4 linked regions of the Drosophila melanogaster genome follow. The protein of the gene in region 3 interacts with the protein of the main gene of each other region in a biochemical or structural test. Each region holds a gene or a part of one and is shown on either strand. Other genes may lie near its edges. The genes, in order: Dredd, cact, Rel and dl.

What was found.
Region 1: of the proteins of Rel (region 3) and Dredd, one has a biochemical effect on the other in vitro, tested with the Drosophila melanogaster proteins (2 studies listed by BioGRID).
Region 2: the proteins of Rel (region 3) and cact form a complex in vitro, tested with the Drosophila melanogaster proteins (one study listed by BioGRID).
Region 4: the proteins of Rel (region 3) and dl form a complex in vitro, tested with the Drosophila melanogaster proteins (one study listed by BioGRID).

The regions. Positions count from the first base shown.
Region 1 is NC_004354.4:633,114-637,169, forward strand, and holds Dredd (death related ced-3/Nedd2-like caspase), read right to left. Parts: upstream 2,433-4,056; 5' UTR 2,371-2,432; coding exon 2,281-2,370; intron 2,196-2,280; exon of another isoform or gene 2,177-2,195; coding exon 1,433-2,176; coding exon of another isoform or gene 1,412-1,432; exon of another isoform or gene 1,375-1,411; coding exon 1,012-1,374; intron 944-1,011; coding exon 789-943; intron 726-788; coding exon 593-725; 3' UTR 509-592; downstream 1-508. Other genes in the region: Mybbp1A (MYB binding protein 1a), read left to right, coding at 1-355. UniProt on the Drosophila melanogaster protein: Effector of the programmed cell death (PCD) activators rpr, grim and hid. May play an apoptotic role in the germline as well as soma. Fadd interacts with Dredd to promote cleavage of Dredd and is necessary and sufficient for enhancing Dredd-induced apoptosis.
Region 2 is NT_033779.5:16,323,188-16,327,768, reverse strand, and holds the start of cact (cactus), read left to right. Parts: upstream 1-1,561; 5' UTR 1,562-1,748; intron 1,749-2,143; exon of another isoform or gene 2,144-2,275; intron 2,276-2,348; exon of another isoform or gene 2,349-2,714; 5' UTR 2,715-2,741; coding exon 2,742-3,436; intron 3,437-4,251; coding exon 4,252-4,429; intron 4,430-4,581. Other genes in the region: CG4278 (uncharacterized protein), read right to left, coding at 1-612. UniProt on the Drosophila melanogaster protein: Involved in the formation of the dorsoventral pattern. It inhibits nuclear translocation of the dorsal morphogen in the dorsal region of the embryo. Acts as a negative regulator of the NF-kappa-B (rel) signaling pathway.
Region 3 is NT_033777.3:9,043,654-9,049,754, forward strand, and holds Rel (relish), read right to left. Parts: upstream 4,325-6,101; 5' UTR 3,783-4,324; coding exon 2,871-3,782; intron 2,575-2,870; coding exon 571-2,574; 3' UTR 530-570; downstream 1-529. UniProt on the Drosophila melanogaster protein: Transcription factor that plays a key role in the humoral immune response as part of the peptidoglycan recognition protein (IMD) signaling pathway.
Region 4 is NT_033779.5:17,447,323-17,452,263, forward strand, and holds the start of dl (dorsal), read right to left. Parts: upstream 3,043-4,941; 5' UTR 2,554-3,042; intron 2,047-2,553; 5' UTR 1,974-2,046; intron 1,189-1,973; exon of another isoform or gene 956-1,188; intron 1-955. UniProt on the Drosophila melanogaster protein: Embryonic developmental transcription factor. The lateral or ventral identity of a cell depends upon the concentration of this protein in its nucleus during the blastoderm stage.

The sequences.
Region 1 (4,056 bases), on a different chromosome or scaffold from region 3:
GGCCTCTCACTTGGACGTACAGAAAACACGCAGTTTTCGGCGGGCACAGATACTGAAGCTGCTCAGCGAGCAAGGTCGCCGGCTCGAAGTCGCTTTCAAGGACAACAACTCGTCTTCCAAGAAATTTGAGAAGCAGATAGCCAGATATGTAAATCAGCTAGAAACGAAGGCTAGCAGTTCCAAGGAACTCAATCTGCTGCTTAAGATCCTCGCCCAAGGAGGCGAGAAGTGGCAGAAACTGCGTGAACAAATTCAGCTCGTCGCCAAGGATCTTCAACCCAACAAGAAGGTGGCGAAGCAGAAGAAGCAGGCAGCCGCCAAACCTATGGTCGTGGAAGATGAAGAGTCCACATAACGTAAAAGAAGGAAACACCCCAATAAGAAACCTTACAATTAGATGTATAAATATCTTGCATAATATAGGATACTATTAATTTTTTTGTTCTTTAAAAAATTCTGACGAAAAGTACTAAATTAGTATTGAAGTCATTGAAAAAATAGCAAAAGTACACTAAACTTTATAAAAATGTATTTTTACCTTTATAGAGCAATTTGAGTGGACGTACAACTGCGCTAACGTTAAAAACCAAAATCACAGACGAGGTGGAAAGTACACGTGCTGGCGAAATGTGCTTTTAACATTCGGCACCATGGACTCGTCATTACTGCCTCGCTTTTTAGACACTTCGTTGGTGACAATCGTCAGGATATCGGCGATGTGTTCACTAAAGTAACAAAGAACAACTTATGCATTAATTCGGGGCTAGCTTGCTTTGGCAGCTTTTTACCTGGCGGAACGGCGATCGATGGCATCGCACAGGCTCCCGATAAACCAGCTACCTGTTTGGGTGTGGCGCAGAGCAGCATATCCATTTACCGTGGACATGGCCCGCAGCATGTCGATGTGCTGGTCCGGCGACACGGTGGTCACGTCTATCCTAAACTGAAAGAGGAATACGAAAATGTATAGGCTTTCCCATTCGACGACTTCATGCTTATAAATCTCCTTACGAGCTCATTTGGCTTCTTTTTATGGACAAGCTTCTCCTGGCAGGCTTGTATGATTAGCAACTTCGGTTTGTAGTACAGGGTGTCGTAGCTGCAGAGCAAGTCCTCGATATCCGTGATCTTCATGGCGATGCTGTTGGATGCGTAGACGGCCTCCTCGAAGCCGTGGCTCAGGATGAAGACCACTAGGGAATCGCGCACGAGCGATCTATCGCACGCACTGCGAATGCGCTCTATGATGCCCATGTGATCCACGTTGTCGTACGCCTCCACATTGTATCCCATCGAGGAAAACACCTCGATTAGTCGTTCTTTATCCACATCCGTGCCATCCCGTCTACGCAGTGGGTCGGGCGACAGAAATTTCTGTGGAGAAGGGCAATGTTGTACTTCTTTTTGTTACTCAATATTGCAGAGATGAAACCATATTATCCCTGCTAACATTCCGGTGAAACTTCTGCTGGTTGATAATCAAGGCGATTCCTGCGTTCTCCCGGGTCAACTTAAGAGCATCTATTTGTGTGGAACAGTACGACTGCTGGTTATCCGATTCAATCTCTTGCTTGACTGCCATCGCAGCAGTGCCAGCCGCATCTGGCTCCGGAGCGTTACTAATGATGGTGTCTTTGAGCAAATTTGCTTGCGCCTGCAGACCGTTGGACTTCAAATGGCCGACCAGCAGCTGAACATCGCTGCCTGCGGCATTTATGTCCCCTAACTTTATGCTCCTTCTGGTCAGCCAGTCCAGCAAAAAGATCTCCAGGTACGCGGGATCGTAGAAGCGAAGTGGATCTCCTGCCTGCTGGCTCTCCACCTTTTCGCGAACATCTAGGAGCAAGCGGCCACTCTGCACCAACGACAACTCCTCACACATCCTGTAGAGGCTCTTCAACAGAGGATGGACATGCAGCGTGATCCCAGCGATATGCGGCAAGTAGTGCATTCGCAGCTCCTGCCAGCAGAAACCCAGTCTCCGGAGCACCTTGCGGGCCCCAATAATGCACAGGGCCTCCACGAGATGTCTTCTCCAGGTTTCTGGCCGGGACTTGGCGAACTTTATGAGTAGATCACTTTGCGGGAAGTCTGATCGTGTCATGGCCAAAAGTTTCTGCAGAATGTAGGTGGCATCCGAGTGGTCGTCGCCATAAAGCAGAAAGCAGAGGCCCACCTAGAAGAAAACGAAGGTTCTACTGTTTAATTAACACTTTGGTCTAGCGGATGTGTAAAACATTTGAGTCATATTCGAAAAGTCCTCCCAGGGAGGTGCCATACCTTTTGGGCAAAGTTCATGTCACGTTCCACGTAGATCAGATCGTTCTGATCGATGGTGTCTAGATGAATCAACAGGTTTGATCCGGCCATGGCGATCGGGAATATACAAAAATGTTTCACTTTAGGAAATGGCCGATAAATTGCACTCGCTGACATCCGATAGCCGTGGCCTGAAGAGCTTCCACCGATCGATATCGATAAATGGATATGTTTTCTGCAATAGCGAAAGATCGGGGTGCTACCTATTAATTATACTTAAGAAACAGATGATGTAGTTTTTTGATATAGAAGTTTAACAACCGGTTCAACAATCGGTTAATATTTAAAAATGTCGCAGCCAGCGAGCCTTTAGCTTTAAAAGTAAGCTTGCGTTCACGGTTTTTGGGGAAATACCAAATATACTAGGTAAAAACATCGATTAACTAATATCATCCAACACGACGATATGTTCTTTGCGAAAAATATCGATGTACTGGTATTTTTATGTTTCCACACCTCTAGTTCGTTTAAGTCGATCTGTTGAACTGTTAACAACACAACTCCTGAATATTATGTTTTGGACGAAAAGTTTTATTAATTTAATGTTTTTGTATATTGTATTCTGTCCATGAGCGTAACAGAGACAGACAGAGAGAAAGGGACAGATACTGAGATACGGGGCCCTCAGGCAGAGAAAGAGGGCGAAAGCAAGCTACAAGCGGGTGCGAGCGAGAGCGCGCGCTTGCCTCACGCACATATATATAAATCTGTACATACATATAGTATCAGAAGAAAAAACTAAAGCCGCTATTCGATTTACGAAAACTGGCGAAAAATTCGACGATTTGTCTCGTACCTATCTATGTACCTCACAACCACTTCGTCATCAAATACGTATAAGTCAGATGTATGTCAAACATATATATACATATGCATGTATATACACATCTATGTGAGGCCACTGCTATATCCCATACATGTATGCCTCTATATATATGTATATATTTATCCACCTACTGTACCACTTCCACATTATGTAAGCAGCGACGCAAACAAAACACTAAAGCAGAAAATCCGAAAAGCAAAATGCGAAATGCAAAACAACGAACCAACAAAATCCCATCTATAAACCGAAAACCGAACAGCAATGTTATAACAAATACCGAAAAGTTGTTAATGTTCCACAAAAAAGCATAAAGCAGTCACGCTAAGAGAGTAAGATCGAACAAATGAAATGTTTGTATGGCATAAGTAGTTCCCAGATTTTTGTATGTACTTCAATGCATATGCATGTGTGCGTATGCATGTATGTATGTATGTTTCTCGGGGCCATGTCTCCCCACGCCCACGTACGTGGGTGCTAGAAAGGGACAGATGGTGCAAATTTTTTAAATTGCATACACTTGATTTTGGAACGCCAGCCAAACAAAAAGATAAATTGCGTGCTTTTCTTTTGCTGTTCGTATGTACGTACATATGCAAGTGGAAACTGCGCAGCAGGGAAGCCACACGCATGAACGCCTTCCATTTACAGAGCATTCAAACAAATCGTACCGAAAACCAAACAAAAACTTTCACCTCAAGTGTAACAATTATATTCAAATTCGCTTTGAAGTCGCTGTAAAATATATGTATGTATGTATAAACAAAGACAAAAACATTTTGCCTCGCAGTCGACACACACACGCGCACTCGCACTGCACGCCTCGGCTGTGTGTGTGTATGCCCTGCTTAGATCATGAGTGTGCGAGCGAGTCGACATGCTTGGCAATCGCGAGTCAGAACTAAACACGCGCT
Region 2 (4,581 bases), on a different chromosome or scaffold from region 3:
GATACCCTTCAGCAGAGATGCTCCAGAGCCGGCACAAATGCCGACGGATTGGATGAGTGTCTTGGGGGTGTGGCCCACAGCTAGAGCAACGTGCACGCTGTTTCTAATGCGCTTTTGCAGAGACTCCACCACCTGGGAAAGCTCCATTTTGGTTTCTATATATCTACCGGATCCGGTACCCGGAGGAGCACCCAACTCCGGTTCCAGAGGGCGGATGCTGATGATATTCACTGCCTTAGATAGCCAGTCGTTGACGCCACCACTCTTCTTATCCCACGCCGTGTGGGGCGAGTACAAGGCTATATCGTTGGCCAAGCATGCTGCCACCACGCGCTCCTTCCAATGTGACTGCGTAATCCTGGTCAGGGGCTTGAAAATTGGCGGATGATAGCTGATTATGAGCTCCGCCTCCTTCTCTAGCGCTTCTTTCACTACGGGCTCGGTTAAATCGTTAGTTAATAGTATTTTCTTGATTTGTTTTTCGCGGTGCGGTTCGATCAGGAGTCCCACATTGTCCCACTTCTCTGCCCAAGAAGTCGGAGCAAAGTTCTCCAGCTCCTTGACCACAGCCGCCAGCTTTTGACCACTAAAAGTGTTCATCCTTCTCAGCATTCCTTGACGTCCTTTGCAAAATATTTCTGGTCCTGCGTTTAAGATTTTGTGCAATTGACTTATTGGCCGGTAAGTGCTGCCAACTTAATTTTTGTTGTTTTACCTGCTCTTAAAATCATCTGTTATCACCCGCAATTTTTAAATTGGGCGATAAAGTAATTGGTTAATATTAATAAACATTAAAAAACACTACTATAATTTTATTAGCAGGTCACATTTTTGTTGCGTAATTTTGTTAGAAAAACATTTAATGAATATTTGGATTTTATAATAACGAGAATAGCAAAACAGTTTTAATAAAACGATAAAAGTTTATGTTATAGCAAACAAATAATTAGAAATTAACAAAATATTTAAAAAGTTTATATACCTTAATAAATTTATCAGATTGGCACCAAACACTTGTTTTTAATAGAAAAACGAACGCCTGATAAATAATAATTCAAGAAATTCAATCGGAAGCCGAAGAATTTAAATTTTAAAGAATAATTTAATTAAGTCATACAAAAGCAAAAAGCAAAACCCGACAAGGAAATGACCAAACCCCTAAAACTGAAGAGTAATTTACAAATTCCCAGCAATTTAATCAAAATTTTAGGAAACAAGTCCGATTTTTTAATAACCTATTTGTTATAATAAATAACTTTACAACTACGAGAGGCGGAATTTTAAATTTTAAATTAAAAAAGCGAGCAAAAACTTTCGAAACTACTTGTGACCGTAAACACAGGTTTTATGGTAAGAATCTGATAATCTTGTAAAGCCCCTCTAAATTTCTTGGATTCAGATAATTTTTTAATCAATACAACCTTGTAAAAACCAAAATAATCGTATATATAATATTTCATGAATTGGCGATAAAATGTGATTGAGTGTTAAAAAATCCCAGAAGGAGAGTGTATGACAAATCGGTCGCTCAGAATATCCCATGAAATTCAGAATTGGTCGAGGTTTCAATCGAAGCTGACCTGTGAAAAACCGAAGAAAGAATCCTGCATTTCATTTCCGTTCTCGGTCAGCGGGTGATTTCCCAGATATTTGTCCGCCTCGCCGTCATACGCATTTCAACCGTAGGACGCCGAGCATCAACATCAAGTGGCTTCGCTCGAGGAACTAAACAATCACACAATCAGAGAGTAAGAAGTATAAATAAACGCATCGCTGCTGTGGTTGCTTTTGTTGCAGCTGACCATTTAGCTGCTCATTTTGTTGTTGGGAGATTTTAACTTGGCGCTCTCCCTACTATCTGGCAACCCTATGGTCTCCCTCGCACACATGTAAAACTGATTTAAGCCCCGATTACACACTCCATCGTCGATATATTAAGGCAAACGTTTTCACTTCGGTCTTTTCAAGTCTAGAATTTTATTTTTTTTGGGCAAATATGAAAAAATAGATTTTTTTCAATTAACAGTTTTCTAAGTAAAGAAAATTTAAAATCGAGACTCTTCATTTCGTGATAACTCTTAGTGCAAACGGGGCTTTATAGTATAGACTGCCATATAAATATATACATATCAGCGCGCTCCCTCAATTTCATTCGCTATCGAAACGTGAAAGAAAGCAGACGTGCGTCCGGGTACTATGCGAATTGCAGATTACAAACATTTAAACCATAAATACGCGTTTTAAAGACAGCTTCGCAAGACAATTAACCAGCAAGGTAGTGAGAAATCCATAGAAAATAGTGCTGGGGTTTAAACCCAGAACATGTGCAGAAAATAAAAAGCGAAAAGGAAGCTGTGTGAAAAGGGAGATAAAAAATCTACCTCAGTGTGATTGTGGGTGTGTGCGGGTGAAACAACCGTGAAGAGGCAAATAAGACATTGGCAAATGGAAAAATCTAAAATTTTCAACCAGTGTGAAACCGTAATTTTTATTTTTCTGCGGCTACACTTGTACATAAGTCCATAAATTGCCTTTAATCTACAAAAATTATTGCGTTTTCACTTGTTCGCTGGAGCCTATATGTTTGTTTCACTCGCACCACCGAGGTGAGCGCTTACTGTGCGTGTGTATGTGTGTGTGTTTGAGAGACTGGGCTCAAAAGCAAAGTTCAAAACGACAGGAGTATATATATAACATATATACATATATTTTAGCCCAACTGAGAGAGGAAAAGCACGAAAATGCCGAGCCCAACAAAAGCAGCGGAGGCAGCAACAAAGGCAACAGCAACAAGTGACTGCAGCTGCAGCGCTGCCAGTGTTGAGCAGCGCGCCCCCTCAAACGCGGCTAACCCCTCGTCCTCACTAGCCACTAGCGGTAAAATTGGCGGCAAAACACAAGATCAAACGGCCGCCATTAACAAGCAAAAGGAATTTGCCGTGCCAAACGAAACCAGTGATTCGGGCTTCATCTCCGGCCCGCAATCCTCGCAGATCTTCAGCGAGGAGATAGTCCCCGATAGCGAGGAACAGGATAAGGATCAGCAGGAGTCGGCACCCCAAAAGGAACAGCCCGTTGTCCTCGATTCCGGTATTATCGACGAAGAAGAGGATCAGGAGGAGCAGGAGAAAGAGGAGGAGCACCAGGACACCACCACTGCCACCGCCGATTCAATGCGACTCAAACACAGCGCGGACACAGGCATCCCACAATGGACCGTCGAAAGCCATTTGGTCAGTCGCGGCGAACAGCTTAACAATCTCGGCCAGAGCAGCAGCACCCAAATCACCGGTCGCAGCAAGGTTCAATCCTCCACAGCCAGCACGGCGAACGCGAATCCTTCGGGATCGGGAGCAACATCATCCGCTCCGCCCAGCAGCATTAATATCATGAACGCCTGGGAGCAGTTCTATCAACAAAACGACGACGGCGACACGTAAGTAAACATTATAGAATCTCAGGAAATGTCACTTTATTCTAGACTTTCAAATTATTTATATATGTGCAAACCACATTTATAGATAACTTCGAATGTGTATTTTTAATGTGGGGAAATTCCCAAGTATGATTTAAACATTTTAGCGCCTTATCTCTAGGTCACTTTAAAAACTTTCCCATGCTTATTCTTAGACTAGCAATCATAAGAACTTTATATTTTAAATATTTTATACAATTGGACGGTATTTTTTGAAATTGGAAACGATTGATTATATTTAGACTGTCACAATCGCCAAAAAAAAATCTTTATTAGAATTTAGGTCTTCATGCTCTTAAAAATCAATTTAACATACTCATTGACAATTCACGATTAAAGATTTATAAGCACAGTCTTTGAATCATTTCCGAATTTCTATGAACTTATACGTGCCGTATTTCCGATGAGAATCCTAAAATTTCCCAAAATAACAAAGACAACGCCGCGTTGCACTGATGACCACCAAGCGAGCTAAGGGGAGAGTTTCGTGAATCACTCAAAGACGATTGTCTGAGGCGAGAAACGCGACTGACACATGTGTTTTAGTCAGGCTTTGGGGTTTTCCTGGTATGTGGGCAGGTACGGGAACAGGTTTTTCGGGGCACCTCTTCTTTCTTCACATTACTTTACCTCTACTTAACTTACTTGGGTTTTTACGCCGCCACATGAACGGCGACAAGTGTACAGGAAGGAAAGAAAGTGCGGGTGTTCGATCGCCAGGTAAAAGAAACCCACAAATTCATGTTGTTTTTTTTGCTCTCTCTCTCTCATTTCAGACCTTTGCACCTGGCCTGTATTTCGGGATCAGTGGACGTGGTGGCCGCCCTGATTCGCATGGCTCCTCATCCGTGCCTGCTCAACATCCAGAACGATGTGGCCCAGACACCCCTTCATCTGGCCGCTCTTACTGCCCAGCCGAACATCATGAGGATACTTTTACTCGCCGGAGCTGAGGTAATATTCAACAAAGATCGAATAAGAAGATTTAGATATTTGCATATTTGTAAAATCTAGCTTAATCCCCTATTGACGAATGTAATGTCATATCATCTTGATTTTCTAACAAAAGCTAATTTAAGTATTTATATTTGTAACAAAAGATTCCC
Region 3 (6,101 bases):
TAATATTATTTAATTGAATGAGATTACACTGTACTATTCCTTAAAACATTATTTAGTTGCGATATTCTTGAAAAAATATAGCAGGAAAGGTCATAAACCGGGAATGATAAGGGCTGTCGGTAAATCCCCGCCTGTCACTGCAGTTACGCAACAGTAATTCCCCCACAACACACACTTAGGCGCATAAGTACATGTATGATTCACCCACTTGTTTACCAAGCGGCGTGCGCGAGCGGCAATGAAAAATTAGTGATTCCCCATTCTTAGAATGTACTTTTTAATGCCGAGCTATCGATGGATCCCCTTTTGCTAGTGATCTCATGCAGGGCGCCGATGGTAATTGTTTGAGGGAACAAGTTTAGATTGCTTATAGAACTATTCTAAAGAATAGATTCCATGGAATAATAAAGGAAACTAAATAAATGCTAATAAAGGAAAATAAATTAATGCTCTGATATTTAAAAATAAAGCTTGCTATCCCAGGCATCCTAGTTTCGCGTATTTTTCATTCCACAAGAGAATAGTATTTGTAAAACTAAGGTACTTTATTGATCAACATTCAATACATAATCAAGTTGGGTTAACCAGTAGGGCGTAAGCCTGTGGATCCACTGCCTGCAGGGCACGAGCAAATGTGGAAAACTCTACAGAGGCTCCTTTTCTTTTCACGTGATCCAACAGATCCTCCGCGCCCAGCCATATAAAGGCGAACTGCTTCAGATGCGTCTGGCGGGCTAGTTGCATCCATTTCCGATCTTGGGGATCGGACCCATGTCCCAAAGGCTGATTCAGCAGCGAACAGAGCCGGTCGTAAATGAATTTGTTTTTGAGCAGCAACTGCAATTTGTTGTTGTCCATTTCGGTGTCTCTACTGGATTCATCTTTCTGTCTTCTTGGACCACTACTTAGGTCCAACTCCACGGAATCCTCGTCCTTTGTTTCGATGTCCATCTCCTCGGACTTGATCTCCAGCTGACCAGCATCGCTACTTTCGTCCGACGATGAATCGATCTCCTCCTTGACCTTACATGGAATCCAGGTCATGGCCAGTTCTCCCTTCTCCGGATACACATTCTTCAGCAGCTGGACCACCCGGTCATTTGCCTTGCGTTCGGCCAATTCCAAGGGAGTATGGCCGGCTGCATTTTGTGCCTGCAGGATGTCGGTAAGGTTTTCATTTTGGGCATCCAGAATGAGCACCAATAGCTCCACACTTTGCTCCAGAACTGCCATGTGGAGTGCATTATTACCATCCATTGTGTTGGCCACGCTAATCGAGGTCCGATCATAGCTGATCAGTTTCTTGGCCACATCGTACTTGTTCTGTCGAATGGCCATGTGCAAAGGCGTCAGACCATCGTCGTTCGTTAGCGAGAGGTCCAATTGTACGGTTGGCACTCCATTAAGGAAGCTTTCCACGCAGCTTAAGTGCTCCTCCTTGACGGCCACATGCAGTGGGGTATTTCCGGCATTATTCTTCAGATTTGGATTGCATCCCATACCCAGCAAAGGTCGTATGTAGTGCGCTCGGTCTTGCTGGCACGCCACATGCAGGGCACTATCACCGTCCGCATTCAAAGTGCTATTGACCACATCTTTCAGATTGAAGTAGTTCATCACCTGTATCGTCTGGATGGCCAGCTTCAGTTTGTCCTTTTTGTGGCTGATCACTTCGTGCAGGAGCGTGTCTCTATTGTAGTTATTCAGAGCATGCTCGATAAACCACTTCTCCACTTTGTGGTGCGAGATTTTTATTGGCGATATGCGGTCCTGTTTGTAAATTTCGAATAAGTCATCCAAGCATTTAATTGTACGATTTCGATGCGATGGCACTTCCGCCCGGTTATGACCATCGTGCTGCAACTCTCCCATGTCTAACTGGCAGATCTTCTCGAGATCAGAAGAGTTGTGCTCGATAAGTTTGCGGAAATCTTCGGAAGCAATAAATTCATTTAGATGCTTTTCGCGTCCGAACTCCTCACTTATAGTCTGATCATGCTGTGAAAGGTTTGGCAAGCCATTTGGTGGCTGCGCCAAGCCCAGCGTTTTGGGCAGATCCAGCGAGTTATTAGAGCTTTCTGTTCCCGAACTGCTGCTATTGGCAGAGGACCCGGTTCGTCGGCGTTTCCTCGACACAATTACGCTCCGTGGCTTGTAGCGGAAGGGCAGCGCCGGGAATGAGCGCTCATCGTCGGAGGGACGAATGAGCTCGATGTACACGTTGACCTCGCGGTCCACGTCCTTATCTTTGTACGGAGGCGTCTGGCACACAATGGCATATTGGTGGTGTACATCCGATTCGCGGAACTTTGCGTATGCCTCCCACACGGTTTCCCCGTCCTCATCCTCCTCGAAGAACCTCACTTTAATGTTCTTCTTGCTGACCTTTTCCACCAGTAGAATAAGCTCATCGTTGCCCATCACCCCGCCAGTGGGTTTGCTCAGGCGGACGATGCGAAGCTCTCCAGTTTGTGCCGACTTGCGGTTATTGATTGCATTGCTGTATACAGGCGGTGCAAGTGGAACCCATGCGCCGTTGTCCTCAATTTTAAAGGCCTCAAAGCAGAGCCGCACCTAAAGTTGGTGTTACTTTTTTAGTGAGTTCTTTGTTGCTTTTCAGTAAGTTAATTGCTTCGATGTTATATTGCTCAGTTATTTTAGCAGAGAAATTTATATAATTCGAGCTAAACGAGTAGATACTTTACAGACTGCTTAAATAAAAAGATTAAAAGGTAGCAAATGCAACCTATAATTAATTGACTAAAGCATTCTAAAGTGAGCAATTAAACGTGTGAATAATAAATGCAAACGTGCATATTCACCTCATCGAAGCAAGCAACTCGATATTGTTTACGCGCTGGTTTACCCACCTGGTTCAAGTTCATGTCCTTGGCCTCACGCTCTGTCTCCTGATGCAGTTCCTGTAGCTGTTTGTGGGACAACTCGCGGCGGTTCATCTGAAAGACCAGGCGATCCTGCTTCTTCTTGCACAGTTCCTCGAATATGTACTTCTTGGCGGTGTGTATGATGCCCATGTTGATAAATTGCGCCACATAGCCGCGCTCCTTGGACACGTGCAAATCATGCGGATCGCACACATCCCGATCGTCCTTGCGCACGACCAGCTGATGGGAATGTGGGCTGTCCAAGTTAGTTTGGAACAAACTGCACCGGATGACGGCGGGTCCATCGTAGTTGCACAGTGTAACCTCCGGGAAGGTTTTGGGCGTCCGCTTCGAATTGGCGCCATTTAGCGATCCATGTGTTCCATGCATCTCGCTCTTGTACCGAAAGCGGAACTTCTCCACCGGTTGCTCAACGATCCGCAGCTGCGGCACGTGTTTGATATCGCCGTCAGATGCCAGGCCATTTTGATGGTATCCAAAGTTTTGGGACGGTGGCACAGTGGCCGGAGCGGGCACAAAGTACTGGTGATCCATGTACATGTTGCCAAAACTGGTGACATTAGCAACGCCGAAACTAACGCCAGTGGAGTTTATTAAATTGGTAGCACCCAATTGGCAAATTCCGCCGTTGTTCAACAGCTGATTCTGGTATGGTGAGTTTGCCATTGGCGGCTGGTGTGGTGAATTGCCGCCGGGCAAATTAAGATTGGCGAAGTCCGTTTGCAGTTCCATGGTTTTCGGGGAGTGGGCTGGTGAAAAGGATCGGTTGGTGGAGTTGGGTGATGTACTGCTGCTATAGCCACTGGTGCTGGATGCATCGTTCATAAACATCACATTTTTCCCATTGTCCAGGTCGTAGTACTGATTCATGTTCATAGTCCGTATCAATCCAATATTTCTGATCAATAGCGTCTTAACAACTCAAAAGTGATCCGCTGCCTTCGCCGATCGGAACGCTAATGATCGAAACGAGCTCCGCCGATGGCTGACCATTCGTTTTAGGTACTTCCCCGATGTTCGGCGGATGGGAAATTATCTGCGGCGGCCACGTCGAGATGACTCACGGGTTTTTCTGGCGCACCACTCAGTGTGATTTTTTTGATCGGCTATACTATAAGCATGTACGGAATTCTGGATTCGCGGTTGTTGTTTACAGAGCGAAATCACACTGTTTATATGTATTCCACCCAACTAATACATATATGCAAATTTATGGAAAAACGACGCAGCGAATCGGGGAACTTTAGTGCGCCACTGCTGGAACGAAAATGAACGAAGCACTGCGCGAACACAAGTAGTATCGCTCACGAGTTGCGAGCAAAACGCTCGCTGCCCTGATAACAGGTTTAAGCTATTTGCGCCGAGCTTTCGGGTCAGCTTTTCACGGAAACTACGGTTCAAATTCATTTATTTGAATACCTGATTTCAACACACCGCGCACACTAAAATAAAAACAAGGCAGAGCTGCCACCGGCAGATAAAACGAGTTGGGTGGCAACGCCCCAATCAGATGTTCTACAAATCTAGGGATGGAAGCGTACGCGATTGTTTGTTCCCATTATTCTTGATTAATTTTTATAAATATAATTTAACCTATTTCGACAAAAAGATATAAAGGTATATAATACAAAATATTAATATAAATAATACAACACTTATATAAATATAAAGATATAAGGAATTTTAATACAAATTTATAATGAGAACCGGCGTAACAACTTATAACTGTGTTATAAAATAATAATAATTATGCAATGCAAGTACCGAATATTAGTATTATTAATAATATATTTTTACGCTTTCCATTGGCTTTTCCCTTAATTCACTTTCGTCACGCACTCATCTCTAGCGCACGCTTTGTTTTTCTTCGTATGATATTACGTTTTATTTCGGACCCGATTCACTTTCTTATGAGCATACACACCTGAAGTTAGACTTTCCGGCGTAATTCCGGGAAGCCAAGACCGAAATGGATCCTATAGAACGTCGCAACATGGTTGGAAAATTTAAAACACCGGAATGTTCTTTTATCCTAAGACACTTGTGCTAAATGATAAAAAAAAACTACATAAGCATGCGCCACTGAACTAATTTGCAATTCAGTCGGTTTCCACTCCCACTGGACCCGCGCACACACACACGCACACTCACGCAGAAACAGCTGATCTGTTGCCAGGCTGCACTTAGAGTATATATGTATGTATTTACGATCCCTTTGCACTTTTTGATGTGTTAATCAATCTTCTCACTTCGCCGTTCCTCTCTTACTCTTGTTACCATGCCAAGGTGTGTGGGTGTGTGTGTGTAAATGCTTTTACACCTTATCAGTTGACGATGAGTTTGTTTATATTGATAATCAATTAGCAGGAAAAACATAAACAAATCGGGGTCTTGACTTTGCAACCACTAGTCTGCGTCTAGACTAGAGTTATTAATAGGCAGGCTACAAAATTAGCTCTTTATGCGGACAAAGGAAAATTCGTTTTCTTGGCTTGATAAAAGCAAACGTGTCTTAAGAACGCCTATTCAAATTTCTTTGAAGGTCAATTATGTATTTTTTATGGATTTTTGTTAGCCAATTTTCACTAGCAGCATACCTTATTGTGACTTCTTTTGTTGGCTTTTGCGAAATTTTCCTGGTGGAAAATTCGAACTGCACTGATTGTCGGATACCGATGGACTGTATAGAACGAAACAGATCACTGAATGAGCCTCGCACGTGTTTGTATATTTTGGATAAAAGCTTTTCGGTTCAGCGCACTAAATATGCGTGTGCGAGCGAGCGCGACTTAAAAGCTTTAAACACTTGTCGATAAAAGTTTTGAACTGTGTGCATATAAATATGGCTTAAAACGGAACAAATACATATGTGCATATATGGATTTTCGATTTTGAAACAACGCGGAAAATAGCTAAACACATATTGAACATATTTTATTTTCTCAACATGAAAATTTTTAAAAGTTCGCCTTGTGTGCACAAATATTTATTTAGGAAATTCTTAAAGACGTGGAGAACAACTTTTGTTGCTTTTATTACCAGTTACATGATTACGATTTTGGTTGGGAATATTTGCTGTTCTAAAATTTCCGACACGAGTTATTTTTCAATAGTTTGTTTTTCTTCGACGCGGCGGATGACGAAATCTGATTTCCGATTACTGCACTCGGAGATTAAGTTGGATTCTGTTGGCCG
Region 4 (4,941 bases), on a different chromosome or scaffold from region 3:
AGTCTATGCTGTTAAGCCATAAAATGAATTAATAAAATAACGTTCTACTCGTTCAACGATAACTACTTTTGGCGAAAAATAAAAAAAAAAGGTAAGTAAACAAAATAAAATGAACATTTCGTTTCGATCATTTAACATGCTAATTTTATGCAATTTCCAATAGCAAAGACACACAGAAAAAAGTTCTTTTGGCGCCAGCACCACAAATTAAGATTAAGATCAACATCAAAGCATCAGAAGCAGCCAAAAATTCCTCAGTGAAACGGGTTCCGCAAAAAAAAAAAAAACAAGAACTCCAGACAGACAAATGTTTTTTAACGATCGTTGGCGTCAAGCAATTTACAGCTCAAATAAAAATAAATAACCGATATGCTGACAAATCGATGGAACTAGTTGCCAAAAGCTATGTTTTGTATCGTATGAATACAAGTCCATTATCCTTATTTTCCACACCAAACAATGTTTGTTAAATTAGCCGATCAGGGATTATTGTGCACATGTGACTTCCGGCAAAAATGCAGATACATATCTTATCCGTATCTCCAATTATAACGGCCACGATCTTTCTTATCGAGTGGTTTAAATGATATTCGCCTAAAATAGAATCCCTATTGATTGATGATTTGCATAGCGGAGGGCCTTACCCACAGCCAGATCGTGTATCAATCATGACTCGGATTTAGCATACGGGGAAACTACCAGTAGATATAACCAATATTATCTATTGACTTGGCCTTAGATCTCTGTTAGCACACAAATCTCTACTCGAGCTTTGTAAATCGCCGATGACTTGCTGGAAACGAGTTGAGCGATTTTAGCGCTTTGATTTTCTTTGGTCCCGGAGACGAGAGTCTGATGTTATGAGTCAGCACACGGTTTGCATTTAACTTGGTTGCACTTTTCGAGTTTACACCGTATTAGCAGCTAAAAGCATTTCTTCATTCTTCATAATTACCTGCGAATCAAACCAAGAACCAGTGAACACTCATGACGAATTCGGTTTCACTTTTTGCTTTTATTTGGGCCACAAAACGCACACTAACCGCAGTTTGTTCTTTCAAAATGGTACTTTTCAAATTATTACTTAAAAATAATATCGAACCGTTAGGGAATTTTAAAAATATTTAATAAAAATAAAAGAATGTTAGCGCAAACACGACCGCAGGCGCATCGAGTCGATCTTAGAATGAAACAATTGAAAACCTCTCCGGCGTATTTGAGTGGCAGCAAAAAATAAATAAATACAAGGGGCAAAAGCTTTTCCACGAGCCCCACCCCCTCTGGGCCCCACGGCCCCCCTCGCCCACCCACGTGCCCGTAAGAAACTTTCATTTATGGCGACGTCGAAAAGCCACTGCGACTGCGCTGCCATGTACACAGGTGTTTCGGTTGTATTATTTAAGTTTATCGTTTGCATTCACCGTAGATTATTTAATACGCAGGTGGATAATTGCCACCCAAAAAACACAACAACAACAACTGCGGTTACACTACAAAGGATTGAATACGTTCTAATAGTTTTTTTTTAACATCTTAACTATTATTTGTCATGCAGAAATTGTGAGCTATTACAAATCTTAGCATCCAGGAATTTTAAACATTGTCAAAATGTTAAAACTATTTAGGATGAAAAATATTAATATGCGAGAAAAGTGACCAGTCTTGGTTTATCAAACCTTAAAAGTGTGAATAATGGTTGATAAATCACGATGTTGTTGCTGTAAACATTGTTCCGAAACGATAAGGCGTCCAATGACTCAATAAGGTTATATTTTTAATATGTTTAATGCAAGATGCGTTTCTTTGTAATGACATTTTGCGTCTTTGGAAGCAATAGTTGTGTACATATTTATTAAAATATCAAGACCCTTCTCGCAAAACGCAGCCATTAGGATTTTCCACCGCACTTTATTAATCCGTGCAATCAATGTTCAGAATCAATAAATTAAGCTAGGCTCTATAGGGGGACTCACCTAAGTCAAGGAGTGATCTGAAATCTCGCTTATATGCATTGATATCACTGGGTTTGCTAAGTAAATCGGACACCTGAAATTCAACGCGAACCAATTAGTACACTTTTATGTACATTATTTGTTAAGTTTCTTATTGTGTTAATTGGAAAATTAGTCCGTTGCACAGCGAGCTAAATAAGCCATTTATTTATAGTTGAGAAATATGGCGCTTTTTTCATGTTAATGTTAACACATACACAAGCACGCACGGCAGGAACCGGTTTATTTATTATTTTTTATATATAAATAATTTATTCTTCCCTCCCTTTCTCACTCACTCTCTCTCTCTCTCTCTTTCTGATTCTTCTTATTTTATTCTTTTTTAACTTTTGCGCGCGCACAAAGCGGGTGCGATAATATCGATAATAACGACAAAAACAACGGATGGGGGAGAACAGTTCGAACAGAAACTAATGAAAAGTTAAGAAATCGAAGTCCGAAGAAAGAGAGAGTGGGCAAAGAGCGCGAGAGAGCGCGTGACGTCGATTTTTTCTAGGGAATTCCGGGCTTTATGCTTATGCGATCATCGACGTACGACTACCTTTTGTTTTTGTTTTTCGATTTATTCGATTTATAATTTAGGGTAATTTGTTATCGCGCTCTGCCCTCCATTTTCTTTGGTTATTCTTGCGATGTTTGTGGTTAAAGTGTCGATGTGCCGTGTAATCTAATCGGTAAACGTTCAGTTTTAATAGAAATTATCAATACGTGCGCCGAGTTTTTTATTTTTGTTTTTTCCTCCGTTATATTGGTGGGTCTCTTTTTTTTGTCACTCGTAATACGAAAAAGCAAGTGAAACTTGCTTAGAGCTCAATTGAATTTATGCGTTTTTATGCAGCTCTTTTACTTTTCGTTTTATTTTTATCTACTGGTATTTCAACCTGCCTTCGAGCTCCAGAAGAGCGAAAGAGAGCGGAAGCTTAAAGCACAGCGAAAAAGGTAAATAAGGCACAATTTGGAGGTGGAGATAAAATACCCGTAACACACGCACTACCAACCGATCTCGACGCCCGCGATTTGAACACTAACTGCCCACCAAGAAGAAACAGGCGAGCCAAACTTTCAATACCGTATGCGCCACTGAAAAATACCGCAAAACTTGCAGATCGCGAAGCTTTCAACGGAGTTAAGTAGTCGGCCCCAAGCTCTGCTCTTTGCAGTCTCGACTTAAGCTCAGAAGAGAGACAATCCGAAGAGCCTAGCTTGGCGAAGAGTGCGAGATCAGCATGTGCTGAGTCACGTACGATTGAAGTTTTCCACTTGCGACTTATAGCTTACAGATGTCCACATCTTCCACAAATCCGAGTTTCGAGGAATACGCGATGATTGCATAAAGGCGAAACAATATATACATACATATAATATAAATGTTTTTATCTGACTGATACCGATTAGTAGGAATGCAGGCCAGTTGTTTCTTTCAAAAGCTTTTAAAATGTGTCACCTTTTAAATCTATAACACGTATTATATTGAAGGAATACCTAATTAATTGAAAATGCATATCTTTTTATTAGGAGCATCCCAAAGGAATCGGAAAATATAAATATTTTGTTTTTCTTAAATATTGAGAATTCAACTGTATGGTAACCAATCATCAAGAATTCGATTTTCAATGTGAGATTCGTTTAAATAGCCGAATATTCCAACTATATATGCATATTTACGAAAAGTAAAATATAAATGGAAAAAATAACTTCCGTCATTTATCTCAGTGTCTTTCACATGTGACTCATCTCCACGAGCGACTGCCTCCGAAAAGCTTTTTCAGCTTTTATGAATGAAACAGCACGGTGAGCACTAACTATCTGTGTGTGTGGCTGCGAGCTATCCATTTAAGACCCCACTCCCACCCATGCGGTTGGGGGGTCTGAATCAGCGTACGATTCCTGGAAAAAGGATAATATCCTGCGCCGGCATTTGTTGTGGCATTAATTTCCACTGCGGCAGAGTCTCAATGCCGTGACTCACTTGCTTCGTGCTCAGCATTCCGGAGCAGCTTTCACTTTCCGGGCGGAGGACCTCTGACATTCAAGACGGCTTGTTACGCGGAATTTGATAATATTGCTGATTCACCTTCTGGGGAAATGGGGGTCAGTACAGTTGATAATTGAATACATCGCTTAAAAAGTGGTCGCACGTTAGATAAGGATTTTTATGTTTTGGGTTTTTCAGCTAATTAAACCAAATTATTAAATATGAACGATGAATAGAAAATATAATTGTCACATTATTTGGAAAACGAAATATTATCAGTTTGAAATACATGCGAAAGAACCAGGTAGTATTTTTATAATTTCATGACAAAATTACAAATAAGTACTAAATGTTCCTATTTTATTACTGTGAAAAATTTATAAGTAAATAAGAATAAAAATAATATTAATTAAAGTTGGATGGTCGGTGACACAAAATCCACATGCTTAAGTTCTTCCCAATACTACGTACATATGCATAAAAAAGGACTTTCCGCCATTATCGTAAATCGTTATCAAAACCACACTGGCACGAAGGTCATGCCACCTGGTAAACATACATACATACATAAGTGCACGTGAGCTAAGCGCAAATAAATAGGAATTATGTCAAATGTTAGTATTGAAATTCCACATCAATTGCCATCGCCGCCCGTGGAATTGGAGTGGGGGAATTGCGGGACTAAGTCAACTCGCAATGTCTTGATGGCACGAACGTAGAACAACAACCCGGTTAATGGAGTCCAGACATCGATCAAACAATGGTGAATGGAGAAGCTCCCACTCCCACAAGGCCGGCAACCAATTGCAGCGGGTTTTCCACGAAAATCACGCGATATTCGTCCAGTCCCGCGAGGTAATTTTTAATGGATCCTGCCCCCTTATAAGCTGACACGTGCTGGGGCAGTCATTTTCATGTACATACACATATGTACATTTGCACCCCGTGTATACG